Macaca mulatta: one gene and its partners. The protein of the gene in region 5 purifies or fractionates together with the protein of the main gene of each other region. This does not show direct contact. Links are inferred from orthologs where the notes say so. Each region holds a gene or a part of one and is shown on either strand. Other genes may lie near its edges.

Evidence for each region.
Region 1: the proteins of CASP8 (region 5) and NLRC4 purify together in Homo sapiens (affinity purification with western blotting; 3 studies listed by BioGRID and IntAct, with this or other methods). This does not show direct contact. The link is inferred for Macaca mulatta from reciprocal best matches to the Homo sapiens genes CASP8 and NLRC4.
Region 2: the proteins of CASP8 (region 5) and FASLG purify together in Homo sapiens (co-immunoprecipitation; 8 studies listed by BioGRID and IntAct, with this or other methods). This does not show direct contact. The link is inferred for Macaca mulatta from reciprocal best matches to the Homo sapiens genes CASP8 and FASLG.
Region 3: the proteins of CASP8 (region 5) and TRADD purify together in Homo sapiens (affinity purification with western blotting; 6 studies listed by BioGRID and IntAct, with this or other methods). This does not show direct contact. The link is inferred for Macaca mulatta from reciprocal best matches to the Homo sapiens genes CASP8 and TRADD.
Region 4: the proteins of CASP8 (region 5) and TNFRSF10B purify together in Homo sapiens (affinity purification with western blotting; 14 studies listed by BioGRID and IntAct, counting the BioPlex papers as one, with this or other methods). This does not show direct contact. The link is inferred for Macaca mulatta from reciprocal best matches to the Homo sapiens genes CASP8 and TNFRSF10B.
Region 6: the proteins of CASP8 (region 5) and TNFAIP3 purify together in Homo sapiens (affinity purification with western blotting; 3 studies listed by BioGRID and IntAct, with this or other methods). This does not show direct contact. The link is inferred for Macaca mulatta from reciprocal best matches to the Homo sapiens genes CASP8 and TNFAIP3.
Region 7: the proteins of CASP8 (region 5) and NOL3 purify together in Homo sapiens (affinity purification with western blotting; 3 studies listed by BioGRID and IntAct, with this or other methods). This does not show direct contact. The link is inferred for Macaca mulatta from reciprocal best matches to the Homo sapiens genes CASP8 and NOL3.

Annotation. Positions count from the first base shown.
Region 1 is NC_133418.1:92,671,941-92,675,837, forward strand, and holds part of NLRC4 (NLR family CARD domain-containing protein 4), read left to right. Parts: intron 1-1,425; coding exon 1,426-1,686; intron 1,687-2,457; coding exon 2,458-3,897.
Region 2 is NC_133406.1:30,162,470-30,165,047, forward strand, and holds the end of FASLG (tumor necrosis factor ligand superfamily member 6), read left to right. Parts: intron 1-114; coding exon 115-171; intron 172-1,415; coding exon 1,416-1,810; 3' UTR 1,811-1,826; downstream 1,827-2,578. UniProt on the Homo sapiens protein: Cytokine that binds to TNFRSF6/FAS, a receptor that transduces the apoptotic signal into cells. Involved in cytotoxic T-cell-mediated apoptosis, natural killer cell-mediated apoptosis and in T-cell development.
Region 3 is NC_133425.1:62,699,031-62,703,704, reverse strand, and holds the start of TRADD (tumor necrosis factor receptor type 1-associated DEATH domain protein), read left to right. Parts: upstream 1-1,726; 5' UTR 1,727-3,731; coding exon 3,732-4,053; intron 4,054-4,674. UniProt on the Homo sapiens protein: Adapter molecule for TNFRSF1A/TNFR1 that specifically associates with the cytoplasmic domain of activated TNFRSF1A/TNFR1 mediating its interaction with FADD.
Region 4 is NC_133413.1:24,712,785-24,716,681, reverse strand, and holds part of TNFRSF10B (tumor necrosis factor receptor superfamily member 10B), read left to right. Parts: intron 1-2,479; coding exon 2,480-2,585; exon of another isoform or gene 2,586-3,594; coding exon of another isoform or gene 3,595-3,682; intron 3,683-3,897. UniProt on the Homo sapiens protein: Receptor for the cytotoxic ligand TNFSF10/TRAIL. The adapter molecule FADD recruits caspase-8 to the activated receptor.
Region 5 is NC_133417.1:106,386,187-106,390,083, forward strand, and holds part of CASP8 (caspase-8), read left to right. Parts: intron 1-982; coding exon 983-1,121; intron 1,122-1,242; coding exon 1,243-1,287; intron 1,288-3,264; coding exon 3,265-3,329; intron 3,330-3,897. UniProt on the Homo sapiens protein: Thiol protease that plays a key role in programmed cell death by acting as a molecular switch for apoptosis, necroptosis and pyroptosis, and is required to prevent tissue damage during embryonic development and adulthood.
Region 6 is NC_133409.1:42,959,854-42,964,337, forward strand, and holds the start of TNFAIP3 (tumor necrosis factor alpha-induced protein 3), read left to right. Parts: upstream 1-1,417; 5' UTR 1,418-1,470; exon of another isoform or gene 1,471-2,330; coding exon of another isoform or gene 2,331-2,381; intron 2,382-3,302; exon of another isoform or gene 3,303-3,528; intron 3,529-4,313; exon of another isoform or gene 4,314-4,484. UniProt on the Homo sapiens protein: Ubiquitin-editing enzyme that contains both ubiquitin ligase and deubiquitinase activities.
Region 7 is NC_133425.1:62,715,798-62,719,617, forward strand, and holds NOL3 (nucleolar protein 3), read left to right. Parts: upstream 1-1,421; 5' UTR 1,422-1,512; intron 1,513-1,627; 5' UTR 1,628-1,635; coding exon 1,636-1,920; coding exon of another isoform or gene 1,921-1,930; intron 1,931-2,085; coding exon 2,086-2,403; intron 2,404-2,505; coding exon 2,506-2,556; 3' UTR 2,557-3,182; downstream 3,183-3,820.

The DNA of each region.
Region 1 (3,897 bases), on a different chromosome or scaffold from region 5:
AGGTTGTGGTGAGCTGAGATCGCACTTATACTCCAGCCTGGGCAATAAGAGCGAAACTTCATCAAAAAAACAAAAACAAAACAAAACAAAAAAACCCAGAAGCAGCCTAGCCCAGGAAGAAATCTAGTGCAGACGGTGTCTGAGAGTTAAAAACCAGGAAGACATTTCTCCAAGCTGTCACAAACATAGCATGGGCACAGTGGGCACAGTGCCTGGGTACAGTGTGGTCTGCCTTTCAGAATTAGACATTGCAGAGTCAGACACAAAAAGGACACAACTATCCTCAAGGCCAGGCGGGAGAGCTTACATTGGATAAAAATCAATGTTTTGATGTGATACTCTTCAGAAAAGACCAAAGTCTGTGAGAGATAAAATGTGCTCTTCCTTTGTAGGGTGACACCTGAATAAAGGCTAAAAATAGTAGCTATCATATATTGAGTTATAACTTTGTACGAGATACTATACATGAATTCTTGTAACAACTTCCTAAGTTAAATACTGTTCTCCACACCATTGTACGGATGAGGAATCCCTGGTGTGCTGGAGCTGGTTCTTACTGTGATGTGAAACCTGATTATTGAATTTTCAGGATTTTGTTAGCCAGCTGACATACACTGTTAGCTTGAAATAGGCCATGGTAGGAATATTTATACCACAGGGATTGGTGAATGCTACAAATTAGGGCCTTTACTCCTAGAAGGCCAGTTTGTGAAACCATTTAGCAGCACATAACTTTTTTTGTTGTTGTTGAGATGGAGTTTTGCTCTTGTTGCCCAGGCTGGAGTGCAATGGTGCAATCTCGGCTCACTGCAACCTCCACCTCCCAGGTTCAAGCGATTCTCCTGCCTCAGCCTCCCGAGTAGCTGAGACTACAGGCATGCACCACCACACCTGGCTAATTTTGCATTTTTAGTAGAGACAGGGTTTCTCCATGTGGTCAGGCTGGTCTCAAACTCCTGACCTCTGGTGATCCACCCGCCTCGGCCTCCCAAAGTGCTGGAATTACAGGTGTGAGCCACCGTGCCCAGCCAGCAGCACAGAATTGAAATAGACTCAAAGAGGCTTAGTGACTTGCCAAAGTCACACAGATGGTAGCAAGTGGCAGATCCTAGGCCAGTGCTGTTATTCTAAAGCCAACGGTCTTACCACTACGACCTCAATGGGGACTGTTTTATATCGGAGGGACAAGATAACTCACCTTACTTCATCACCAAAGCAAAACCATCTTGCTCATCAATGACTCTGGGGTTAGAACTGCTTTGCAGAGCATTTCTTAAAGGCCTGGAATTCAAGCATTTGGCATCTCCATAACTCAGGAGATGCCCACAGGAAAAAAATGCATGGCCCTAATGCTCTGGAGACAGATGCTGACATGCACATTATATATAAACAAATAAATATATATATTTCTTCCCATCTCCTCAGTGAATTTCATAAAGGACAATATCCGAGCCCTTATTCAAAGAATGGGAATGACTGTTGTAAAGCAAATTACAGATGACCTATTTGCATGGAATGTTCTGAATTACGAAGAAGTATGCAACATTTGCTGCGAGAAGGTGGAGCAGGATGCTGCGAGAGGGATCATTCACATGATTTTGAAAAAGGGTTCAGAGGCCTGTAACCTCTTTCTTAAATCCCTTGAGGAATGGAACTATCCTCTATTTCAGGACTTGAATGGACAAAGTAAGTATCATTTAGTTTTGCAGATGGCAGAGCCTCTGCTTTTCCTCCTCTTCATATCACCTGGCAATGGCCTTTGATTCCTGCTAAAGAAAAGCTTAGATGATTTTAGGAAAAATTCATAGTAGATCAATTGATGGTGAAGCCAAACAACCCCAGGGCCAGGGAATAAATGACTGAGTATAGTGTCACTGCAAGATAAAACAGGACAATGAGTGTACTAGTTAAGCTGCCAATGCAGCAGTGGTTCTCAGCGTTCCCTGCTTGGATGAGATCTACCTATGGGAGAGAGGCCCAGCTGACTACCTACCATGTCCAGGCCTCCTGGTAAAGACAGCCTGACTGACACAAGAGCACAATTCTATTTTTCATGAAATATGAATTCAGTTTTTATTTTTTTAAATTAGTAAATAAGGTCATGACAGATTTTACTTAGAGTGAAGGCCTAATATGCTGACAGTTACCCCAACCATCTTTCTCCGCCAAATTCTTTACTTTCCTTAACCCATACACAAGCTCCTCCCTGTTCCAACCAGCTGCTATAAGATTTGGTTGTGGAAAGGAGGAAACAGAAAGCAAAAAGGGGAGTGGGGTAAAGGATGCCGGGGAAAGGGGGAGCAGACAGGACCCTTTGTGCCTGCTCGGAACTGGGAAAGGACATTACGTTCACCAATGGCAGATTCTCAGCCTCACCCCCTCGTTCATCCTCCTGAACACTAGGTTTTGAGGAGACACAGAATTGGGTCCTCTTTAACATCACCTCTTCTCTAATAGGTCTTTTCTATCAGATATCAGAAGGAGACTTGGACGATTTGGCTCAGGATTTAAAGGGCTGGTACCATACCCCATCTTTTCTGAACTTCTATCCCCTTGGTGAAGATATTGACATTATTTTTAGCCTCAAAAGCACCTTCACAGAACCTGTCCTGTGGAGGAAGGACCAACACCATCACTGCGTGGAGCAGCTGACCCTGAACGGCCTCCTGCAGGCTCTTCAGAGCCCCTGCATCATTGAAGGGGAATCTGGCAAAGGGAAGTCCACTCTGCTGCAGCGAATTGCCATGCTCTGGGGCTCCGGAAAGTGCGAGGCTCTGACCAAGTTCAAATTCGTCTTCTTCATCCGTCTCAGCAGGGCCCAGGGCGGACTTTTTGAAACCCTCTGTGATCAGGTCTTGGATATACCAGACACACTCAGGAAGCAGACATTCATGGCCATGCTGCTGAAGCTACGGCAGAGGGTTCTTTTTCTTCTTGATGGCTACAATGAATTCAAGCCCCAGAACTGCCCAGAAATCGAAGCCCTGATAAAGGAAAACCACCGCTTCAAGAACATGGTCATCGTGACCACCACCACTGAGTGCCTGAGGCACATACGGCAGTTTGGTGCCCTGATTGCTGAGGTGGGGGATATGACAGAAGACAGCGCGCAGGCTCTCATCCGAGAAGTGCTGATCGAGGAGCTTGCTGAAGGCTTGTTGCTCCAAATTCAGAAATCCAGGTGCTTGAGGAATCTCATGAAGACCCCTCTCTTTGTGGTCATCACTTGTGCAATCCAGATGGGTGAAAGTGAGTTCCACTCTCACACACAAACAACACTGTTCCATACCTTCTATGATCTGTTGATACAGAAAAACAAACACAAACATAAAGGTGTGACTGCAAGTGACTTCATTCGGAGCCTGGACCACTGTGGAGACCTAGCTCTGGAGGGTGTGTTCTCCCACAAGTTTGATTTCAAACTGGAGGATGTGTCCAGCGTGAATGAGGAAGTCCTGCTGACAACTGGGCTCCTCTGTAAATATACGGCTCAAAGGTTCAAGCCAAAGTATAAATTCTTTCACAAGTCATTCCAGGAGTACACAGCAGGACGAAGACTCAGCAGTTTATTGACGTCTCATGAGCCAGAGGAGGTGACCAAGGGGAATGGTTACTTGCAGAAAATGGTTTCCATTTCGGACATTACATCCACGTATAGCAGCCTGCTCCGGTACACCTGTGGGTCATCTGTGGAAGCCACCAGGGCTGTTATGAAGCACCTCGCAGCAGTGTATCAACATGGCTGCCTTCTCGGGCTTTCCATCACCAAGAGGCCTCTCTGGAGACAGGAATCTTTGCAAAGTGTGAAAAACACCACTGAGCAAGAAATTCTGAAAGCCATAAACATCAATTCCTTTGTAGAGTGTGGCATCCATTTATATCATGAGAGTACATCCA
Region 2 (2,578 bases), on a different chromosome or scaffold from region 5:
TTGCCATTTATGGTTTTAAAATCTTTTTTTTTTAAATGATGGGATTTAAATTCCCACCAAAATAATAGTTGGTATTTCATTTTAACATATATTTTTCCTCTCTCTATGATACAGGTCACCCCAGTCCACCCCCTGAGAAAAAGGAGCAGAGGAAAGTGGCCCATTTAACAGGTCTGTATCTGGAAGGTACGGGTGGGGTTTGGGAAAGCTTTTGGCAAAAGGCAAAATGGCTGCCTGGTTTCCATTACCAGGTGCTAGAGAGTTGTTACTTCCTGGTGACAGTATTTGAACTCAATCATACTAACATTTTCCTTGTCGAGTCAGTCTTATAAACACACTTCGATCCCCTATTCTCTGGGCAAGGCCTTCTAAATTGGAGACCTGGAGCTGATTATGACATGACCCGTGCCCATAAGGAGCTCATTCTTTTCAGTCATTCCAAAGTCCCTTAGGTGATTGGGGGCACAGATCCAAGAGGTGAGAGCTGAGAAGGTGAGGAATGAGGACTTGTTTTAGTCAGCGCTTTCTTGGTTTTTTGGAAGAGCTTCACTCTGCTTTGTCCAAGAGTATAAACAGGAGCAAGAAGGGAGACTCACTCCTGGCACTTGTAGACTTTCAATATGTGCCTGTAAAGTGGAGTGAAATGATATGGTATGGGCACTCCCATTATAAACTCCCAAAAAAATAAATCATAAATAATGGAATAAATATCACAGAAAGTGGTAGGCTATTGTCCCTGGAATTATTTAGGCAGAAATTGTAGAATGATCCGGTCACATCAGCAGACACTTACTCAATACCTGATGTGCACCAATTTGGGGATGTGAAAATGAGTAGCATATGGCTCTTGCCCTCAGGGAGCTTGACATCTAATAGGGAAAGACAGGCATTTATGATAATTTCAGTACTGCAGAGATTTAGGTTATGTTCATGACGTTGTGGGGATACAAAGAAAAGGAAACTGTACCCCAAACTGAGGGGCTGAATAATTCTTACTGCAGGTGAGATGATGGACCAGATGGTCCCTAAGATCCTTCCCAACTTTAGAATTTTAGAGTTCCTTGGATTTGGCTTTTTTCTTCAGGAAAGGACTTCAAAGCCTAGCAGTTTGGGTGCTAGTTCTGAAGATAATAAAATCTTTGTGCTCCAGAGAGCTAATATTTTCTCAATAATTTCTTACTGCAATGGATTAGGCGACTATACTATTGTTCTAATTGTGTGGATGACAAAATAGGACAACAATGTTGAGGAAATTCTGTGATGGATCAAGTTCTGACCCCTCAGCCAGTTCTATACAGGCTGTAATTCTGAGTAGAACATTTGTTCAAGGAAGGGCCCACAGTTTTGCCTTAGAAACTTAGTTTGTTGGATGCATGACTATTCCTGGCTGAAAGCTCCTTTCGGATTTATTTCAGGCAAGCCCAACTCAAGGTCCATGCCTCTGGAATGGGAAGACACCTATGGAATTGTCCTGCTTTCTGGAGTGAAATATAAGAAGGGTGGCCTTGTGATCAATGAAACTGGGCTGTACTTTGTATATTCCAAAGTATACTTCCGGGGTCAATCTTGCACCAACCTGCCCCTGAGCCACAAGGTCTACATGAGGAACTCTAAGTATCCCCAGGATCTGGTGATGATGGAGGGGAAGATGATGAGCTACTGCACTACTGGGCAGATGTGGGCCCACAGCAGCTACCTGGGGGCAGTGTTCAATCTTACCAGTGCTGATCATTTATATGTCAATGTATCTGAGCTCTCTCTGGTCAATTTTGAGGAATCTCAGACATTTTTTGGCCTATATAAGCTCTAAGGAAAGCACTTTGGGATTCTTTCCATTATTATTCTTTGTTATAGGCACTGAAAATGTTGTATTCAGTGAGGGTCTCCTTACATGCATTTGAGGTCAAGTAAGAAGACGTGAACCAAGTGGACCTTGAGACCACAGGGTTCAAAAGGTCTGTAGCTCCTCAACTCACCTAACGTTTATGAGCCAGACAAATGGAGGAATATGACGGAAGAACGTAAAACTCTGGGCTGCCATGTGAAGAGGCAGAAGCATGAAAAAGCAGCCACCAGGTGTTCTACACTCATCTTAGTGCCTGAGAGTATTTGGGCACATTGAAAAGGACACCTTTTAACTCACCTCTCAGGGTGGGCCTTGCTACCTCAAGGGGGACTGTCTTTCAGATACATGGTTGTGACCTGAGGGTTTAAGGGATGGAAAAGGAGGACTAGAGGCTTGCATAATAAGCTAAAGAGGCTGAAAGAGGCCAATGCCCCACTGGCAGCATCTTCACTTCTAAACGCATCTCCTGAGCCATCAGTGAAGCTAACACAGAAACAAGAGAGATATTCTGGGGACTCATTCCATTCCTAACACAGCCTGTGTATTTCCAGTGCAATTGCAGGTGTGTGTGTGTGTGTGTGTGTGTGTGTGTGTGTGTGTGTCTAAAGAGAGAATATAGATATTGTGAAGTACATATTAGGAAAATATGGGTTGCATTTGGTGAAGATTTTGAATGCTTCCTGACAATCAACTCTAATAGTCTTTAGAAATAATTGATTGTCAGCTACTGAA
Region 3 (4,674 bases), on a different chromosome or scaffold from region 5:
CCGGCTAATTTTTGTATTTTTAGTAGAGATGGGGTTTCACCATATTGGCCAGGCTGGTCCTGAACTCCTGATCTCAGGTGATCCACCTGCCTCGGCCTCTCAAAGTGCTGGGATTACAGGCGTGAGCCACTGCGCCGGGCCGCCAATCTTGTTTTAAGGTTCCTGAAGGTTTGCGTACACAAGGCTTCACACTACTCGCCAGTTAATGTTCCCATATCTTCCGGGCTAACAGTTTCTCCCGGAATTTGTGCCACGTGTTTCCTGGGGCTTCAGATACGCTCGGCTGGGCTTGTACCTGGGACACATGGGCACCCCGTTTTGAGTGCCCACTGGCAGCAGCGATCTTGAAGCCGGATCCCCAGGGGCACCAGAAAATTCTGGTCTCCAGGGGGCGCTCCCTTGATCTACCGAAATCTGGCAGCTCTCGCTCTTACGAGCCCCCGGCCTCGTAAAAATCGCAAACCCCCAAAGTCCCGGTCTTCCTGCCGTCTAACCTTGGGCGCTGGTGTCTTACCTGCTCAGCGAACCAGATGGGCTTTGCCCGGGACAGGGGACTGGCAGCAGAGGGCAGCGGGCGGGAAGCAGCCACCGGGAGCCCGCGGAGCAGGACGCGCGGGCGGACTAGGAGGCTCGGGCTAGGGCACCGCCCCAGCGCCTCCGCGCACACCCGGAAGCGGCGCGAGTAGAGCGGAGCCTGGCGGGCGTGGGAACCCAGGCCCAGCCGAGGCGGCCAGGTTAGTGCAGTTGGTGGGTGGGTGTGTGGGTGGGCTCCCCAGTGCGGGCGGGAGCGGAGGTGGATCTTGGCTCCGAAGCGTGGGCGCGGCGCAGATGTCACCAGCGGCTGCTCCAGCCAGCTGGTGGCGGCGGCCTATTGGGCTGTTCCCGTGGGAGGCGGGGGGCGGTACTGAATTTGGCCCCCGCAGGCTCTTCGTCCCTGCCAGCGCTTTCGAGGAGCAGTAGGGCCCCGCAGGAGAGAGGGTGGGGGAGGAGGGGTGGTTCTGAACACCTCCTTGAGCGGAGACCCCCCTGTCCACCCCAGCCGATCGCACGTGCGAAACCCCAGCTTGAGGGTGGGCTAGTGGGAGCCTGGGAAGCTCCCCTCCAGCGCTCGGGAGCTGCGTAGCTGAGTAGGGGGTGTGCCCGGCGGGTCGCAAGGAGTCGCAGGCTTTCATTTCTGGGCCACGCCCACAGGCTGTCCCTGTCCACCCAGCCAGAGGTGGGGCTGCCCCCGGGACTGTTAAGTGTTCAAGGGGCACCGTGCGTGGCTCGCCCCTGGAAATGGCGGCAGACGTTGTTAGGTCGGTACCCAAGTGCCCCACAGTCTCCGGCCACCAAACGTTCTCAGGACCCAGCCTGGAAGCCTCAGCCCCTCCCAAAAAGGGACGACTACGGGTGGGTGGGGCGCGGGGCTTCCCAAGGAGGGGCTTCTGTGAAAGAACACGTTAGAAGAGCTGCCAATCGGCGGATGCGAAACTAGGGCCCTGGCCTCTTTACCCTGTTAACTCGACCTCCAGCCTGGCTTACCTCCCCCATGGGTCTGGTACTAGTGAGTGTGAGGAAGCATCCCCAGTCTCCAGGTTCCCAGTACTCCCTGCCTCCCCACCCTCCCCTGCAGACCTGATGGGCAGACATTGGTCCCGTTTGGTCCCCACTTCCACCCCTTGGGGTGGGGCCACAACCATCGGGTCAGCACTCCCAAGTCAAGGGGCTAGGAAGACGTGAAAGAGGGAACGTTTCCAGGGGAGGTTCTCACTCTCTCCTACTCCCCAGGCCACTTTCCTAGGACTCCCCCTTATCTCACCTCCGTGGCTGGCTCCCTATCATGGACCCACTTGTCACCTGCAGAGTTTCCCACTTTTTCTTGTTTTGCTTTTAAAGAAAACAAATTTATTTTGCTCTTTTAATACAAAGAAAATGTCTCTACTTCACATAAAGCAGAAAATATTGCTAAATACAAAGAAAATAAAAATCACCCACAATCCTTCCCCACCCCCACCTCCCTCCCTCCATCCTGCCCAGAGATAAACAAAATGCAAATTTCCTGTTACTATCCAGACTGTGGTTTGGTGTAAGTACACAGTATTAATGTTTTCTATGAAAAGATTAGGAGGCCAGGTGTGGTGCCTCACACCTGTGATCCCAGCACTTTGGGAGGCTGAGGTGGGCAGATCGCTTGAGCCCAGGAGTTTGAGACCAGCCTGGGCAACATGGTGAAACTCCATCTCTACTAAAAATACAAAAACTAGCCAGGCTTGGTGGCGCATGCCTAAAGTCCTAGCTACTTGAAAGGCTGAGGTGAGAGGATTGCTTGAGCCGGGAAGGTCAAGGCTGCAGTGAGCCGTGATAGTGCCACTGCACTCCAGCCTGGGTGACAGAGCAAGACCCTGTCTCAAAAACAAGAAAATTTAGAAAACAAAGGTCGAGAGTAGTGGCTTACTCCTGTAATTCCAGCACGTTGCGAGGCCAGGACAGGATAGCTTCCTGTTCCTCATGTAAACAGATGGCAGCTGGGGCCACCCCATCTGTCCTGCCCCATAGCTAACACTCAACACTCCTCCTAGCCCACCATATATAAACCCTGATGACTGGAGAGTGCAGGAGTGTGACTGATGGGGCAGGAGGTAGGGCCTTGATCCCATGATTCTAGGAAAAGGGTAAGGTGGGGAGAAAGAGGGAGGGCAGTTTCTTACTTGCTGTCTCATGGGGTAGTAACTGGGAGACCACTGAGCTGTGGGTCAGTGCAGTGGTTCCCTGGCTGGGAATTTTGCCTCAGCTGGTCCAGGGCTAGGTTTTTGTCAGAAGATGGAGGAAGGAGATACTATGCTAGCACCAAGGGGCCCTGGCTTTTTCTGGACAGGGAAGGAATAGAACAATTTGTGTTGGAAATGACCAGAGCCGAACTCCAAGGGCTTTACAACAAAAAAGGATTATTTAGCTCACATAACTGAAAAGTCCAGGGTGCAGTGGCTTCAGGAACAGCTGGATCCAGGGGCGTAGTATGGTTGGGAATGCACTGCTCCATCTCTTGACTATTTCTTTCTGTGTCAGCTTCATTCCCAGCCAGACTCTTCCCAAGCAGTATTAAAGGAGAGCTACCTCTTCCTTCCAGTTCAGTCCCAAGGGAAGGGAAAGGAGTGCCTCTTTCCTATTGGCTCAACCAGAGTTGCAGGGTTGATTCTCATGGGTCCAACTTAAGTCCTACACCCTGCTCTGAACTAATCACTGCAGAAATGTGAATGGAATGTGCAGATTAGCCAGGTCTGGTGCACAAGCCCGACCTGAAACTAGGGAGTGGGACACAGGCACATGGATTGAGAAGAGGGAGGAGGGAAGTCCCTAAGGTAAGTCAGGCTTTCAGGAGGGAATCTGGGTAGATGCAAACTGCAGGTGTCCTTCAAAGTGAAGACAGGAGGTTTAGTCTTAGGCTGAGGTCCTCCAGAGATGCTGGGCTCAAGTCTACTCAGAAGGCAAGGCCAGGAGCATATGGGTCTTGTTGGCTTTGGGGCATGAGCACCATCCAGCATGAAGATGTCTCTGGTCCATGGTGGTTAGAGAGACACACAGGCCTGAGGAGGAGGCAGAGAAGCCCCACTGCAGAATCTGCCTCTGCTCCCCTCCACTGTGACCCTGGGCTCTTTCGCTGAGAAGGCAGTGGAGGGACAGTCCTCACTGCAAGCGTGGGGTGGGTGGGACTCAGTATAGGGCCAGGAGCTCAAGGGGCTTCCTGTGAGATGGTGAACTCCTGTCCCAAGTATGCCAACCAGTGGTGGGGACAACTGAACCATGTGGGACTTGAGGTTACTGTGGAGACGCTGAACCACGTGGGGCTGGACGGTTGTCTCCAGGGCAGAGGGAGGGGGGATGAACTGGATACCCGACTGTCTGCATCTCCAGGAGGTGAGATGGCAGCTGGGCAAAATGGGCACGAAGAGTGGGTGGGCAGCGCATACCTGTTTGTGGAATCCTCGCTGGACAAGGTGGTCCTGTCGGATGCCTACGCGCACCCCCAGCAGAAGGTGGCAGTGTACAGGGCTCTGCAGGCTGCCTTGGCAGGTGCGTGGGTGGGCGGGCATGTGGAGAGGAAGGGGTGGCCTGGGGCATTTTGTGGGTGGGCCTGGGCTTAGCCACCTTTAAGGAGAAGATTTAGGGTGGGAGGAGCAAGACAGAGGACCCCTGGCTGTGCAGGCTCTCTTCTCTGCTTGTGGCATGACCTTGACGGTAGACGTGTGTCCTCGTCTGTGTATGATTTACCTATTTGTGCACTAACATCTCTTGCTCCCTCGCCGCCCCCCTCCACCAGCTGGCTCACTCCTTTCTACTAATTGTGGATGTCTCTCTCCTCTTTTCCTCTCTTACTCCAGCACTCCTTGCTCAAGACCCCTCCCCAGTACCTACCCTTCCAGGCCCCCCTTTCCCATCTCAGGGCAGAGGCCACAGGAGGCTGAAGCGGGTTGGGGGATCTGTTCGTGGCCTCAGAGCAGCGACAGCCGCCGCTCTTCTTCCCGAGCAGTGGGAGCCGCGCTTGGTGGAGGCCGAACACCTGAGACCTCCCGCCCTCCTCTGCCCTGCTGGCCGCCTACCCAGACGGCTTGGTTGCCCAGGGCACACGCCCCCTTTTCTGTGCTTCGAAGTCCCTCTCTTTTGTCAACCTTCATTTGGGGCGTGAGAGCTTGG
Region 4 (3,897 bases), on a different chromosome or scaffold from region 5:
GTCCATTTCTCCCAGGTGGTTCAATCCTTTGGCATATAATTGTTCATAATATTTTCTTTTTTTTTTTATTTTTTTTATTTTTTTTTTGAGACGGAGTCTCGCTCTGTCGCCCAGGTTGGAGTGCAGTGGCCGGATCTCAGCTCACTGCAAGCTCCGCCTCCCAGGTTTACGCCATTCTCCTGCCTCAGCCTCCCGGGTAGCTGGGACCACAGGCGCCCGCCACCTCGCCCGGCTAGTTTTTTGTATTTTTTTTTAGTAGAGACGGGGTTTCACGGTGTTAGCCAGGATGGTCTCGATCTCCTGACCTCGTGATCTGCCCGTCTCGGCCTCCCAAAGTGCTGGGATAACAGGCTTGAGCCACCGCGCCCGGCCTGTTCATAATATTTTCATATGATCCTTTGCATTTCTGTCCATTGTAATGTGTCTCCTTGTTGTTTTTTTTGTTTGTTTGTTTTTTGTTTTCTTTGAGACAGAGTCTCCCTCTGTTGCCCAGGCTGGAGTGCAGTGGGATGATCTCAGCTTACTGCAACTTTCGCCTCCCAGGTTCAAGCGATCCTCATGACCCAGCCATCCAAGTAACTGGGATTACAGGTGTGCTCCACCATGCCTGGCTTTTTTTTTTTTTTTTTTTTGTATTTTAGTAGAGGTGAGGGTTTGCCATGTTGGCCAGTCCGGTCTCCAACTCCTGGCCTCAAGTGATCCATCTGTCTTGGCCTCCCAAAGTGCTGGGATTATAGGCGTGAGCCACCTCACCTGACCTCCTCATTCATTTTTTATTTGATTTGTCTTCTTTCTTTTGTCTTAGTCTAGTTAAAGGTTTGTTGATTTCATTTCTTTTTTTCAAATAACTAACAGAATTTTGATAGTCTTTTGTATTTTTTTCTAGTCTCTATTTTATTTATTTTTGCTCTGATTTTTATTATTTCTTTTGTTCTGCTAACTGTGGGCTTAGTGTATCTTTTTTTCTGTTTCCTTGAGGTATAACATTAAGTCTTGTATTCAAGATCTTTCTTCTTTTTTGATGTAGGCATTTATTGCCATTTCCTCTTAACACTGCTTTTGCTGCATCCCATAAATTTGGTTATGTTATCTTTCCATTTCATTTTCTTAATATATTTTTAAATTTTCCTTTTGATTTCTTCTTTGACACATTGGCTGCTCAAGAGCTTGTTACCATTCAAGTTCTTTGTTCATTTCTTAACCACATTGTTGGCTTGTGGTGGTTGTTGTTGAGTTGGAGTTTTTATATATTTTAGATATTAACCTTTTATCGGATATATAGCTAGTAAATGTTTTCCTCTTCCTGTGGGTTGCCCCTTCACCGTTGATTATCATTTGATGCACAAAAGTTTTTAATTTTTACATAGTGCAATTTATCTATTTTTTTCCTATATTGCTTGTGTTTTGGGGATCACATTCAAGAAATCATTGCCAAATCCAAGGTCATGAAGAATCGTTCCTATGTTTTCTCCTAAGTTTTAGGGTTTTCACTTTTATGTTAGATTTTGGATCCATTTTGAGTTAATTTTTGTATATATGTAAGTTAAAGGTCTGAGGTCATTGTTTTGTGATAAGTCAATATCTAGATTTCCCAAGACCATTTTAAAAAAGATTGTCCTCTCTCAATTAAATGGTCTTGGTACCTTTTCCAAAAATTACTTGATATATGTAGTCATGCACCACATAACAACATTTCTGCCAACAACAGACTGGATATATGATGGTGGCTCCAGCAATTATGTAACATACTACCCAGGTTTGTAGCCTAGGAGCAAGAGGCTATACCATATAGGCCAGGTGTGTCATAGGCTACACCATCTAGGTTTGTGTAAGCATGCTCTCTGATGTTCACACAACACAATCACCTAACAACCCTTTGCTCAGAACAATGTTGATCAATGCATGGCTGTACGTGCAAGTTCATTTCTGGGCTCTCTGATCTAGTCCATTGGTCTATATGTCAGGCACCTTTTAAAATCAGAAGTTCACTATTTAATGTTTGATCCTGTATCCCAATTTTTTAAGTTTGCTGTATTATAACCCCCATTTATAAAAATGTGTATGTGTGCCTGTGTGTCTGTTTGTGTGTGTGTCTGTGTAAGAGAGAGAGAATGAGAGAAAGAGAGAGAGAATAGGCATACCTATGGAAAAATAGTGGAACTAAATGAAACAAAATATTAATGGATGCTATCTTTAGCTGAGATTATCATGTGTGGTTTGTGTATTCTTCTAAAAACTTTCCTTGCCCACATTTTCTGGAATAAACATGTTTAGAAGAGTTTTTCAAGTGAATGTTACTTGGCCTTCCCTGAAATATGAAGGGACGAACAAACACGAAAGGATGTTTGAGAGGTGAGAGCTGCAAGAAAGATGAGGGTTCTGTTTAGCCTGCGTGCCTGGGGTCAAGGGAATGTGAGTGGATCCTGGGAGGGGTGAGCTCTGGAAGCCACTCACACCCATCCCTGCTTTGTCCCCACAGGTCTCAGCTGACTGTGCTCCAATCACCCGACAATCCCTAGATCCCCAGCGAAGAGCGGCTCCACAACAAAAGAGATCCAGCCCCATAGAGGGATTGTGTCCGCCTGGTATGTTTAAGATGGGTCTCTGATCCTTACCCCTCCTCCCCTTGTCTCCATGAGCTTCCAGTCTGTTTCCTTTGCACTTCCTGGTTCTTTATGCCACAGAGAGGCATTGGGTGCCTCCAGCTCAAGGCTCTGTCCTTCTGGAGCCTTCCTGCTAGGATGGTATCAAGACACACAAATGAATGAGACCGCCAAAGAGACTGATAGGCACCTTGAGGGAGAATTGAGTGGAACAGAGATGGGGCTGGTGAGGCCTCCAGGCAATGGTGACTTTGGGTTGACATCCGGAGGTGGGCAGGGCCAGAGGTGCAGAGAACCAGGAAGAGTGCTCCTAGGAGGGTTCCACTGGAACAATTGCCGGGGGTCAGGGGTTGGGGAAGATGGAGCAACGGCAGGGGACTACTGTGGGGAGTGGAGGGTTACGAAGTTAGAGAGACAGGTGGGTTCAAATCCTACAGAGAGGAAGCTGGATTTTATTTCACGAGTGATGGATGTCCCTGCGAAGTTTTCAGCAGAGGGCCACCAGCATTGGATGTGCATCCTGAGTGCCCACTCCTGGATTGAAGCGGAGCAAGACAGGAAGCAGGTGGAGGGCCTTGAGTGTGAGGCGCTCCCCTGGGATGTTATATGGTGCCCTGTAAGGTCATTTGAGCCCTGACAGATGCAGCAGGAACCTGGCCTGAAATGTGCTTGACTGCTGTGTTCACCTCGCACTTCTTTCCCTCTTTCCCCCGCGCGTATGAGGTAAGAATTGATTGCTGCATGAAGGTTTCCAGGGCTGGCAAGTGTGGCAAGCAGTGGCTTGTAAAATCCATTTACAAATTTGCATTTCTTTTCCATGACTAAGGGCCACAGGAAAGGCTTGCCTGAGGGCAAACTCTCACATTGCACGCGTGGGCTTGTCAGGAGCAGAGCATGGAGAAGGAAGAACCCAGTGTGAAGCAGACACAAACTCATCTGTAAATGCTCCTATTGCTGTGGTCCAGAGTCAAGACCAGGGAGCAGGACAGGAATGGGAAGAATTCAAGAAGTATTTGGGGTGTGGATGGATGACATGTGGGGAATGAGGACAATCAAGGCACCAAATTCAACCGCTCAGGGTAACTTGGCCTCTGAGGGGACAGTGTGTGGCAGGGTTAGCAGTGCACATTTGGGGACCATAGCACATAGGTGATGCTTGAAGCCTCTGTCTTGAGGGTGTCCTCCTGGAAGAAGCTGTAAATACTGAGAAGGAGGGGCACAACTGAGCCCATTAGGATTTGCAGTTGGAGGCGATAGACCTGGGAGACAGGACTGCAATGGGCTGAGCAGGAGC
Region 5 (3,897 bases):
AGAAGAAAGTTGTCAGCACGAGTGTTACAGATGTGATTCCTCTATACTGAAGTGCTGCGCATGTTAATTACCGGGAGCAAGGCGGAGTCAGGGGCCGGGAGAAGGAGGCTGGTTGTGCAGATGCAGCCCAGCCTGAGACCCGGCAGAGCTGGGAAAGACAGCGGTGAGTCTGAGGCATTTCCTCCACTTCCGCAGTCCCCGAAACGACCTGGGACCTGGAACTCTGTGTGTATATTGTGTTTGTGTGTGGTGTGTCTGTGTTTTGTGTCTCTGTGTGTTGTGTGTCTCTGTGTGTGTTTTGCATGTCTGTGTGTTGTATGTGCATCTCTGTGTCTGTGCGTGCCTTTCTCTGTGTATAGTGTGTGTCTGTATTTGTGTGTGATATGTGTATCTCTGTGTGTCTCTGTATAAGTGGTATGTGTGTCTGTGTATCTCTGTGTCTGTGTGTGTGTGTTCTCTTGTGGTATGTGTCTGTGTGTGTGTTGTGTAGTGTGTATTGTATTTATGCCTCTATGTGTGTATCACTGAGTATAGTCTGTGTGTGTTGTGTGTATCTGTGTGTGTGTGTATGTGCATGTGTGTATGTATGTGTCTGTGTGTCTGTAGGTACTCAGGTCTGGAGAGGCAATGCTGGGGGTGAGGCCGTCCCCAGGGCATCACCATGGTGACCGGGCTGCTCAGGCTGTTTTACAGTCCTCAAGTAATGCATTCGCAGGAGATTTGAGCACAGGGCCTGGGGACTGGGTGACATCTGACATGGCTTCTCCTTTATCCTCTCATTTCTGTCTTTCTGGGCCAGAAAACATGGAATCGCTTCCCTAGTAGCCTGCTGGCTGTGAGAGACCAGCAGAAGCTGTCAGAAACTTGGGAAGCAAGGGCAGGTCCTTGGTTGGAGAAAGTGGAAGTTAAAAAAAAAAAAAATCTAATCTAAAAACCAGTAGGGCTCAATCCAGATTCCCAACTTTATTTCTCTTCCTCTTAGAACCTGCTGGATATTTTCGTAGAGATGGAGAAGAGGGTCATCCTGGGAGAAGGCAAGTTGGACATCCTGAAGAGAGTCTGTGCCCAAGTCAACAAGAGCCTGCTGAAGATAATCAATGACTATGAAGAATTCAGCAGAGGTAGAAACGACCTGACAGCCGGGAATTGGCAAAACCTACTCTAAAATTGAAACTGACAAATCTGTCCATGTCACAGTTGTTTCTAATCAAATATTGTTGGGGGTTTCCTCTTTTAATTCAGAGAGAACAAGGAGCCTTGAAGGAAGTCCTGAGGAAGGTTCAAATGGTAATGCTTGGAGATACATTTTCAAGATTTAGTTAATTTACTCTCTGGTACCTGCGTGTGTCCTCCCCACAGCCTTCTACCACATGCACGTCCTAATGTGCCTGCTCTACTTTTTTTTTTTTTTTTGAGACAGAGTCTTACTTTGTTGCCCAGGCTGGAGAGCAGTGGCACCATCTTGGCTCACTGCAACCTCCACCTCCTGGGTTCAAGCAATTCTCCTGCCTCAGCCTCCTGAGAAGCTGGAATTACAGGCGCGCACCACTACGCCCAGCTAATTTTGTGTTTTTATTAGAGATGGGGTTTCACCATGTTGGCCTGGCTGGTCTCAAACTCCTGACCTCAGGTGATCTGCCCACCTTGGCCTCCCAAAGTGCTGGGATTACAGGCGTGAGCCACCGCGCTCGGCCGCACCTGCTCTCCTAAGACCTGCAGCCCAGGCTGGCAAGTTTGAAACAGGTGCAGAGTGAGTCAGTCATAAGTAATTTAACATCATTTTTTCTATGTGACTTTTTTTTTCTCCTTGATGTGCTGCTCATGTTATTCCTTGATGTGCTGCTCATGTTATGCACTGAGTAGCTGGATTTAAATTATGTTTCATAATTTCCTTGGTTAAGTCACTTCCTCTGTCAACACCTTCTACACTAAACAACTCCTTTCAACTTCCTTTCACTTTTTCTACCTGGGTAAGCGAGGCTGAATCAAGAGAGAGAACTCTCAATGATCTCCTCCGAAATTTTGATTAATCAAATATTCTTTTGTTGTTGTTGTTGTTTTGAGACAGTGTCTCACTTTGTCCCCCAGGCTGGAATGCAGTGGCGCAATCTTGGCTCACCACAGCCTCTACCTCCTGGACTCAAACGATCCTCTTGCCTCAACCCCCTGAGTAGCTGGGACCACAGCACAAGCCACCATGCCTGGCTAATTTTTGTATTCTTGTAGAGATGGGGTTTCGCTGTGTTGCCCAGGCTGGTCTTAAACTCCTGAACTCAAGCCATCCGGCTACCTGGGCCTCCCAAAGTGCTGGGACTATAGGCAATTAATAAAGTATTCTTTCTGATTAGAAAAATTATATATACTCATTGAAGATGATTTTAAATTCAGATAAATTTTTATAAGTCCAAGAACGCCATCGCTCCATTAATATTGGTTATATTTTTATTGTATTTTTACCTTGGCTCTTTGTGGTGTGTGTGTATAAAATACATTTTGGATCATTCAAATGTATTTTAAAGATTAATGTCCACGCAGGCTCTCCTTCCCTTTCCTCCCTGCCTGCTGAGCCCAAGCTTTACTCCTTAAGAATACTTTAAGGAGTAAAGTACTAAATCATTAATTCATCCTAAGCTAGTGGCTTTATTAATGAGTATCTCACAAATACCACAAAAATTCAACCTGGCCATGTGGAGCAATATAAATTATGGCATTTCTTGGTATGTTTTTCTCTTTGGCGAGGAGACAATTTGATCTTATATTTCCAGAAGCATGTTAATTGCCCTGCTTGCAGAATCTCTCTGGGTTGAAAGGAGATTATATTTATGGCCGTCTGTGAATTTTCATTTCATTTCATTTATTTATTTGAGACAGAGTCTCACTCTGTCGCCCAGGCTGGAGTGCAGTGGTGGTGTGATCTCAGCTCACTGCAACCTCCACCTCCCGAGTTCAAGTGATTCTCCTGCCTCAGCCTCCTGAGCAGCTGGGACTACAGGTGCCTACCACCATGCCCGGCTAATTTTTTTTGTATTTTTAGTAGAGACAGGGTTTCACCATGTTGGCCAGGCTGGTCTCAAACTCCTGATCTCAAGTTATCTTCCCATCTTGGCCTCCCAAAGTGCTGGGATTACAGGCGTGAGCCACTGTGCCCAGCTTGAATTTTCATCTGAAAAAAGACCTTATGTTGTTCTATGTGCTACATATTTCATTACCAGTGTACCTTTCCTGCCATGTCTCATTCTACACGTGTCTCTTTGTTATTTGCAGGGGAGGAGTTGTGTGGGCTAATGACAATCTCGGACTCTCCAAGAGAACAGGATAGTGAATCACAGGTAGATGGAAACCTCCAAATCCTTTTTCTTTTTACATTACAGATTCTAGTTACTTAATTTGTTAGCTTTTTTTTTTTTTTTTTAAGCTGCCAGATAAACCGATAAGAGGCAAAAACTTACTGAAAATTTTGAGAACTGTAGAAAAAATTCACATAAAAACAGTTAAAAATATGACTTAATTTTTAAAACGTGACTCCTTCAGTTTTCTATGCATTCAAATTTTATTTTAAGACCCAAGATGAAGATACTGGAATAGTTGGAAGGTGGAGGGGGTAAGAAGCCTCCTACCAAATCTTCTAGCAGCCGTGCCAGCCTGGATGGGGGAGTGGTTTGGAGAGTCTAGCAGGAATGGAAAAAGCAAAGCCTTTTCGTTTGACTTAACATTTCAAAAATGCTTCTCCTTTGTGATTAGGTGTAAGCAGCAAACTCTCATAACCTAGCCATCTTTGTGTTTTCATCTCAGTGAACCAGCAGAAACATGTACTTTTTAGGCATCATAACTTCTCTTTATGTAACCAACCATCCACCAAATACATCCCGACTTATTAGCCCATTTGCTCGTCCTCAT
Region 6 (4,484 bases), on a different chromosome or scaffold from region 5:
AAAACAGTGCCATCCTCCACCCAGCTCGCATCCCCATCTCTGCAGGTACTTACGGGCGAGAGGAGGATACTTTTCTAATTAAAAACCTGTGATATATGGCCTGACGAGTATTCTTAAATGTAATTAAAGGGACCACAGTACAGAATATTTCCAACTGGTTCTAGTTTAGCCAATCTAGTAAATGATCCAAAGGGTCCCGTGCTTAGAGGGCAGTAAGACAGTAAAAGCACCCTAAGCCTCCTCCCTGCACAGGACCTGCACCCCCACTGCCCAAGGGACTGCACCCATCTCCACATGACTCACTCTCCCTATGCAACGCATGGGGGTGGGGAAGGGAGCGCCAGTATTATCAGCCATCAGCACCCTGGGGTGAACTGATAATCAGGACAACTAAAAACACACCTAATAAAGCCTTGGAGACACATGGCAAGCACGGTGATGGACTAGAAGCGATTTCTAAGCTGAAATGCTGCTTGAATGCAATGTCAGCTGGATGCTTGGTGAGCAGAAATAGAGAAGGGGAAATGGAGCAAGGGTGGCATAGGGGTGAATGTTGTTCTGATTCCTAAGTTTACCTAAGATTGGGGCCACGGGGTCGGGTGTTCCCTGGGACCTACGTCTCATGCAGCCTGGGGTCCAGAGCTGGCAGGAACAATGGAGATGGGGACCAAAGGCTGTCACTGCTGCTTTTTCTCGAAATTCCCGCCCGGGTCCTGTCTGGGGCTCCCGCCTACGCGCTTATCACGTGCACAGCCCAAACTTTTCAGAGCCAGCCCGAGGCCTGCGGGCCCGGACGCCAGGGTGGTTTTTAGGGTTTTCTTTTTTTCTTATTTCCCTTCTTCTTCTCCACAGTTGATGATTTTCTGCAGAAAAACAACTGCGAAAAAGAACCTATTTCATTTCCAGTTCCCATCACCGCGATTTCCACATGGATGTGACGTGACCCCAGCTTCCGAAATGCCCAGGTGACTCACGCGGGGACACCCCGGGGCGGGGCGAGGGAGTTTCTCCCTGGGCCCGCGGGGACTGGGCGGGGCGAGGCAGCGGGGCGGGGCAGGGAAAGGGGGCGGGTCGGGGCGCGGAGGCCGCGAAAGCCCCTCGCCCCCTGCGCCCTCTGGCGGCCGGCGGGACGCAATTCGCAGCCCTACCCAGAGAGTCACGTGACTTTGGAAAGTACCGTGGAAATCCCCGGGCCTAGACCCGCATACAACTGAAACGGGGAAAAGCAGACTGCGCAGTCTGCAGTCTTCGTGGCGGGCCAAGCGAACTTGGAGCCCGCGGGGGCGGAGCGGCGATAGCGGCCGCCAAGAGAGATCACACCCCCGGCCGACCCTGCCAGCGAGCGAGCCCGACCCCGGGCGTCCATGGAGCGTCGCCTCCGCCCGGTCCCGGCCCCGACCTCCGCCTGCTGGGCGCTCCTGCTTTGACCCGGACTTGGGACTTTGCGAAAGGATCGCGGGGCCCGGAGAGGTAACCACTGCGCCTCCCAGTGCCGTCTGCCTCGGGCTCACCGCAGCCTAGGGCTGCGGATGCATGTTGGGCAGCGACCCCCGGGCTGGCTCCGTCTACCTGGCGTTGGTTTTGCAGCGCTCCTGGAGTGGGAGTTTGTTGGACGTTTGTTTCTGTCTGGGTTTTGAAGTGCTGGGAGTTGAGGTCACCGCTTCAGAGGTTGGAGTGACAGCCCTGGATACCTCCAGCCAGCTGTTCCTTTCGGATAATGCACGGAACTTAAGCTGCAGCTGACTGGTGAAGAGGCGCCCCTCGGGCCCTCTGATCGGGTGGTCGTTGATGCTTTGCTCCTTTCGTGTCTTTTTGGGAGCCAAGCGTTGCATGCTCCTGGCCACGTAGACCTTGCAGAAGCGCTGCGGCTTTTTCCCAAATTGTGCAGGGCCAGCCCGACGGGGAGTAGGGTACCGCAGTGGCCGCCAGCCCGGCGGAGGTGGGGGGCTTCAGTCCCAGAGACAGCTTCCCAGACGCTCAGGGGTCCGTGCACAGGGCTGGGGTCCTGGCGCAGGGTCTAGCTTTTCCAGCTGCAGCAGTGTAAGAGAAGTATGCATGTAGACATGGGTCGCTGGCGCCTGCTCCAGCCCCTACCCCACGGTTAGACTGTCTTTGTCAGCCGGAGTCGTCCCACATCCTGCCACCTGGCCTCTCAGGAAAGCAGTGGCATTAAGTAAGGAAGGAGCTTAACTCTTTTTGAACCCGCTTTGTTTTCAGTTCTCCTCGCCTCAGATCTTCTTGCCTTGGAAAGCCAGTCTGGTCAAGTGTCTCAGGGCAGCATTTTGGTGGAACCATTGTTAATTAAAGGGGCTTCTGGACCCGCAACCTTAATGTACTGGATTATTGAGCAGCCAATGAATGCTTCATTCTCATTGTTTAAGGTGCTGCTTTGATTTTTTTTTTTTTTTCAATTCTTAGTACTATTTTTGATAGGCACATCCCCAAATTTGGATGAGGTATTTGTTGATAAATAATTCATCAATTTCCACAACGCAGACAAAAATATCTGCCCAGAGTGGAAAAATAAAACAAGGGGGAGAAGAGTTTGAGCAATGGAGAAGTTCTGTAGAATCCTAGTGACAAAAGTTGAGAAATTACCTTTAAATAAGACAGAGAGGTAACAAATGTTAAGAAAAAAAAAAAGTTAAGGGTAATATTGCATTGTTTGCCACTTTATAATGTATCTGAAACATTTATTCTTTAATCTTAAGTGTAGAGAGATCCAAGAACTGGAAACTTGGACAGTGGGTTTTGATTTCTAAGGAGGCAGTTTTACAGGCTGTGCAAGGCTAAACCTACCAATGAGATCACACTGGGGTATCCAATATTGACATTTGCATGTCTTGCATATGGTTTACAGCTCTCACTATTTTAGATCTTTGGTGAAAAATCTTTAGATTCAGAAGAGAAAAAAGGGTCAGACAAGCAAAAAGAGATAACACCTCATTTGTTTAAAATCTTCCTATTGCCCATCTCTTTCCATCTGATTGTGGCAGGCACTGTAGCCACAGGTTTGGTGTTGTGGGATTGCAAGGGGCAGGTATTGAAAGACCTGGCTCCTAGGCAAAACTTCGCCCCTGAATGGCTGTGGGATCTGAGCAGTACCTGTAACTCCGTTGCCTTAGCTGCAGACTAAGTTGGTAGTGTGATTTCAAGGAAGGGAATAAGGTCATCTTTGACTTTTAATCCCATCATCAAGCATGGTGATTGGCCTTCAGTAGTGGTCAGGTAGTGCTTGTTGGGTGGATGGGTGGGTGGGTGGGTGGATGGATGGATGGATGGATGATATCGTGAGAGAGACTTTTGCTGTGCCACAAAGGAAAGGTGTATGTGTTATTTTTGTCCTGTTATGGTTTTGCCCAATTCCACCTGTAGAGGACGTCTGACATCAAAAGAGAGCACCATCTGATCCAGAGAATGACTCCCACTATGCCTTTCCCAGCAATCAGATTAAGAATCCTAATCTAAAACTATCACCAGAAAACTCCTCAGGAGAAACCATGGGTCATCTAGTCCAACCTCTCCCCTGTGAGTGGGCCACAAGAATTTAGACCACCTTATTAATGGTGTTAAGAGAGTCTAGACCCACGCAGGAGTAGCTACCCTAAAATCTAGATTTCTTCTCCTCCCTCTTCCATAGGTTTAACATTTTTATTAACTGGAGAGTTGCCCTGGCAAATAGGATGCGGCAGGAATGGAATTAACAATCACTGCGAAATTTCCTAGGGAATGTCTTTGTGCTCTGAAAACTTCTTCATCTTCTTGGAAATTAGGAATTGTGACCAGACACCCTACTAAGGGCTAGTGAATCCGAGCTGGCTTTTTACACTGTTCCATACTGGAGAGATCCCACATCATGTAAATTTGCATCATCCTGCACTGTTGGCATGGGTTGTAGATGCTGGTCTTTGCCGCCTTTCCTCCTTCATTTGCCAGAGTGGCTTCCTGGTGGAAACTTCTTTCCTTGTCTGCTTCTAGACTTTCATTCCTTCTACTAGTTGATTATGCTTAAAGATTTCAGGGTGAAAAGCCAGGCAGACATGCCCCTGTGTTGGTACCTGGAGGGTGATGATAAAATTTCATTGGCAGTTGAGTTAAAATGATTGAGCTCCAATATCTGTTCTTAGAAGTATAGAATTTATTGTTCTATTATTATTTTGTGGTTTTTCATTTTTTGTTTTCGTAGAGACCTGGGTCTCACTATGTTGCCCAGCCTAATCTCAAATTCATGAGCTCAAGTGATCCTCCCACCTAGACCTCCCAAAGTGCCAGGATTAAAGGCGTGAGCCACCATGCCTAGCCTATTGTTAGTCTGTTTCTTATTCTGATATGAAGTCCTATTGGGAGGTTCTGAAGGAATGCTGACTGCTCTTAAAATTACAAAGTATCTTGGTGGAAATGGGCTTTTTTATTGATTAGAAAACATTCGGTTTTAACTCTTTATAAACATTAGAATAAACTTTATGAATCCACACTTTATAAAT
Region 7 (3,820 bases), on a different chromosome or scaffold from region 5:
GTAGAGACAGTCTCTCAAGAGTAATCCCAGCACTTTGGGAGGCTGAGATGGGAGGATCGCTCAAGGCCAGCAGTTCGAGACCAGCCTGGTCAATATAGCAAGACCAGGCCCGGCAGGTGGCTCACGCCTGTAATCCCAGCACTTTGGGAACCCGAGGCAGGTGGATCACGAAGTCAGGAGTTTGAGACCAGCCTGGCCAACATAGTGAAACCCCGTGTCTACTAAAAAAAAAAAAAGAATAAATACAAAAAATATATAGCAAGACCCCATCTCTTAAAAATTAAAAAAAAAAAAAAAAAGGTCGGGCTTGGTGGTTCACACCTGTAATCCCAGCACTTTGAGAGGCCAAGGCAGGTGGATCTTTTGAAGGCAGGAGTTCAAGACCAGCCTGGCCAATAAGGTGAAACCCTGTCTTTACTAAAAATTCAAAAATTAGCCGGGCATAGTGGTATGCGCAAGTAATCCCAGCTAGTCTGGAGGCTGAGGCACGAGAATCACTTGAGCCCAGGAGGCAGAGGTTGCAGTGAGCCGAGATTGTGCACTGCACTCCAGCCTGGGAACAGCAAAACTCGATCTCAAAAAAAAAAAAAGGTCTCTCAAAATAGGGCAATCCATGGAGGAAAATCAGTCCAAGTTCGGCAAGCATTTGTCGGTAGCTTGTGTGAGCTAGGCCCTGGGTACTTCAAGATCAAACAACAAATGTCTGTAGGTCATTCCGAGGTCAGCAGGGAGCCAGGTGGGTCAGCAGGGAGACAGTCACATTGGGAGTTAGGGCTTCAGCAGGGAGACAGGTGGGTCTCAGGTGATGTCAAGAGATCTCGGTCAGAGCTAGGCCTGAAGAAGATTCTGGTATCTCTGCTCAGGAATCAGGGGACCAGGATGGGCCATGAGACCACATTGGCGTTGCATTATGGTGGTGGTGTTGGTGGGAGGGTGGAGAGGCAGGGCTTGTCATGGAAAGTTGGATCTCAGGGTCAAGGTAAGGGGAGAAAGGCAGGGAGGCTCTCAGCACTTTGTGCTCTGGGTGCAGAGGGGACTGGAGGGTAGATTATGGAAGCAGGGAGCTCTAGTCCTGGGTTCTGCAGGGCCAAAGCAGGAGGCAGAAGGCTGGACTTAGTAAGTAGTGAGGATAGTGAGAGAAATATTCAGCAGTCAGACTGGAAAGGACTTGTCTGCAAGCTGGGTGTAGAGTATCAGCATCAATCCTAGGTTTTTCTGCCTGGTTAGGTGGTGAAGCAGATTTGAGAGAAAGACCTTAGTTTGGATAAACGGGGTCTGAACCCGCCTCTGATTAGCTCAGGAGGTCCCGGTTGGGGAGGGCACTCAGAGAGTAGACAGAGTCCTGGGAAAGGCAGGGGAGGAGAAGAGATTCACAGCTGACGTTTGGGGACAGAAGGAGGAGCCTGAGGAGGAGACAGGACAGAAGCGTCTGGAGAGGCAGGAGGACACTGAGTTCCCTGTGTTGGCCTCCAGGTCCTGTGCTTGCGGAGACCACTGGCGGCTGGAATCAAGGTGAACTTAGACCCCAGCCCGGGTGTTCACTGGGGGCAATGAGAGAGAGGTCACAGGCAGCGAGGGCAGGGGGGAGGGCAGCCCTCTATTACTTCTCTCCCCTTTCTCCATGCAGGCCTGACAATGGGCAACGCGCAGGAGCGGCCGTCGGAGACTATAGACCGCGAAAGGAAACGCCTGGTCGAGACATTGCAGGCGGACTCGGGGCTGCTGTTGGACGCGCTGTTGGCGCGAGGCGTGCTCACCGGGCCAGAGTACGAGGCATTGGATGCACTGCCTGATGCCGAGCGCAGGGTGCGCCGCCTACTGCTGCTGGTGCAGGGCAAGGGCGAGGCCGCCTGCCAGGAGCTGCTGCGCTGTGCCCAGCGTACCGCGGGCGCGCCTGACCCCGCCTGGGACTGGCAGCACGTGGGTCCGGGTGAGTGCTCGGGGCGGGGCCTAGGGCAGAGCGGGGACGGGGTGGGGCTGACCAAAGGCCCGGGGAGGGTGGGGTTGTCGTCTCCCCTAGAAGTAGGAGAGTGTGAAACCTCACAGGGATAAATTGAGCCTCAGTCACTCCCACTTCCGCCCCAGGTTACCGGGACCGCAGCTATGACCCTCCATGCCCAGGCCACTGGACGCCGGAGGCACCCGGCTCGGGGACCACATGCCCCGGGTTGCCCAGAGCTTCAGACACCGACGAGGCCGGGGGCCTGGAGGGCTGCGAGGCGGTGCAATCCGGGACCCCAGAGGAACCAGAGCCAGAGCTGGAAGCAGAGGCCTCTGAAGAGGCTGAACTGGAGCCAGAGCCAGAGCTGGAACCCGAGCCTGAAGCAGAACCAGAGCCGGAACTGGAGCCAGAACCGGACCCAGAGCCCGAGCCCGACTTCGAGGAAGGGGATGAGTCGGAAGGTGTGAGGCCACCCAAACCCTGAGCCGGCTTGGCGGGAGGGCATGGCCTGGGAAGTGGATGCGGGACCCCAACTCTTTGACCACTGTTCCCGTCATCTCTAGATTCCTGAAGGCCAGAACTCTGACTGGCCGTGCTCCGCCCATCCTGGATAGGACCTGGGATGCTGCTGGAGCCGAATCGGATGCCACCAAGGCTCAGTCCAGCCCAGTACTGCTGGAAGTGAATAAACTCCGGAGGGTCCACCGGGACCTGGGCTCTCTCCACGATTCTGGCTATTTGCCCAGGAACAGAGGGTGGGTACCTCTGAGTCCCAGGGACCTGGGCAGCCCCAAGCCTACCACAAGCATCATCCAGTCCTCAGCCCTAATCTGCCCTTAGGAGTCCAGGCTGCACCCTGGAGATCCCAGACTAATCCCCTTAGTGGGACAAGGACCTGACCCTCATGCCCACATACACAACCCATTTCCCCTCATGAGCCACTTGGCAGCCTGTGTAGGTACCAGCTCAACCCCATGCAAGTCCCTGGGCTGAACATGGAGCAAGGGGAGGGTGACTTCTCTCCACGTAGGGAGGGCTTAGAGCTCACAGCCTTGGGAAGTGAGATTAGAAGAGGGGAACAGAAAGGGACCTTGGGTAGACAGAGGCCACACACATCATTGTCATTACTGTTTTAATTGTCTGGCTTCCCTCTGAACTGGGAGCTCAGTGAGGACTCTGACCAGTAACTTACACAAAAGGCGCTCTATACATATTATAATATATTCAATGACTAAATGAACAAGGACTTTCCAACTGTGTTTCTGAGTTTTACAGATGGCAAAACTAAGGCCAAAGGATAGGAGTGGGGCTCATACAGCTAAGTCTGAAGGGAAACTGGAAGCAGCAGCCACCTCTGCACCTCACCTGGTCCAAGAGGGGTTCAGGACTTGGGCCACCAAACTCTAGGGCCTGTCCCTCAGGCGCAATTGCAGCTGCTCCTAGGCTATGCCAACCTCTGCCAGAGACCAGCTGTAAGGGTGTGAGCAAAGACAGGAACAGCAGAGGCCAGTAGAGGGAGTGGTGACAGGGCCAAGGGAGCTCTTGGGCTTGACTCTCAAGGCCTGAATCACTGTGTGTGTGTGTGTGTGTGTGTGTGTGTGTGTGTGTGTAATGGGAGTGGGGCTGGGAAAATTGGTGCCTTCCAGGAAGGAATGTCCTGTTCCCCCGCCCACAAAACCTTCAGGAGCTGCTGCTCCCAGTCACAGGAAGTAGACCATATAAATATGGAATAAATATATGACCAGTGACAGATGCAAAATGTCAGAAAGCAGACCCCAGACCAGCTGGGTCTCTACTACCAGGACCCCAGGCTCAGGCCATCAATCACCCCAGGAGAAGAGATCCCAACCCCTACCAGGACCCAGTGAGAGGTAGACA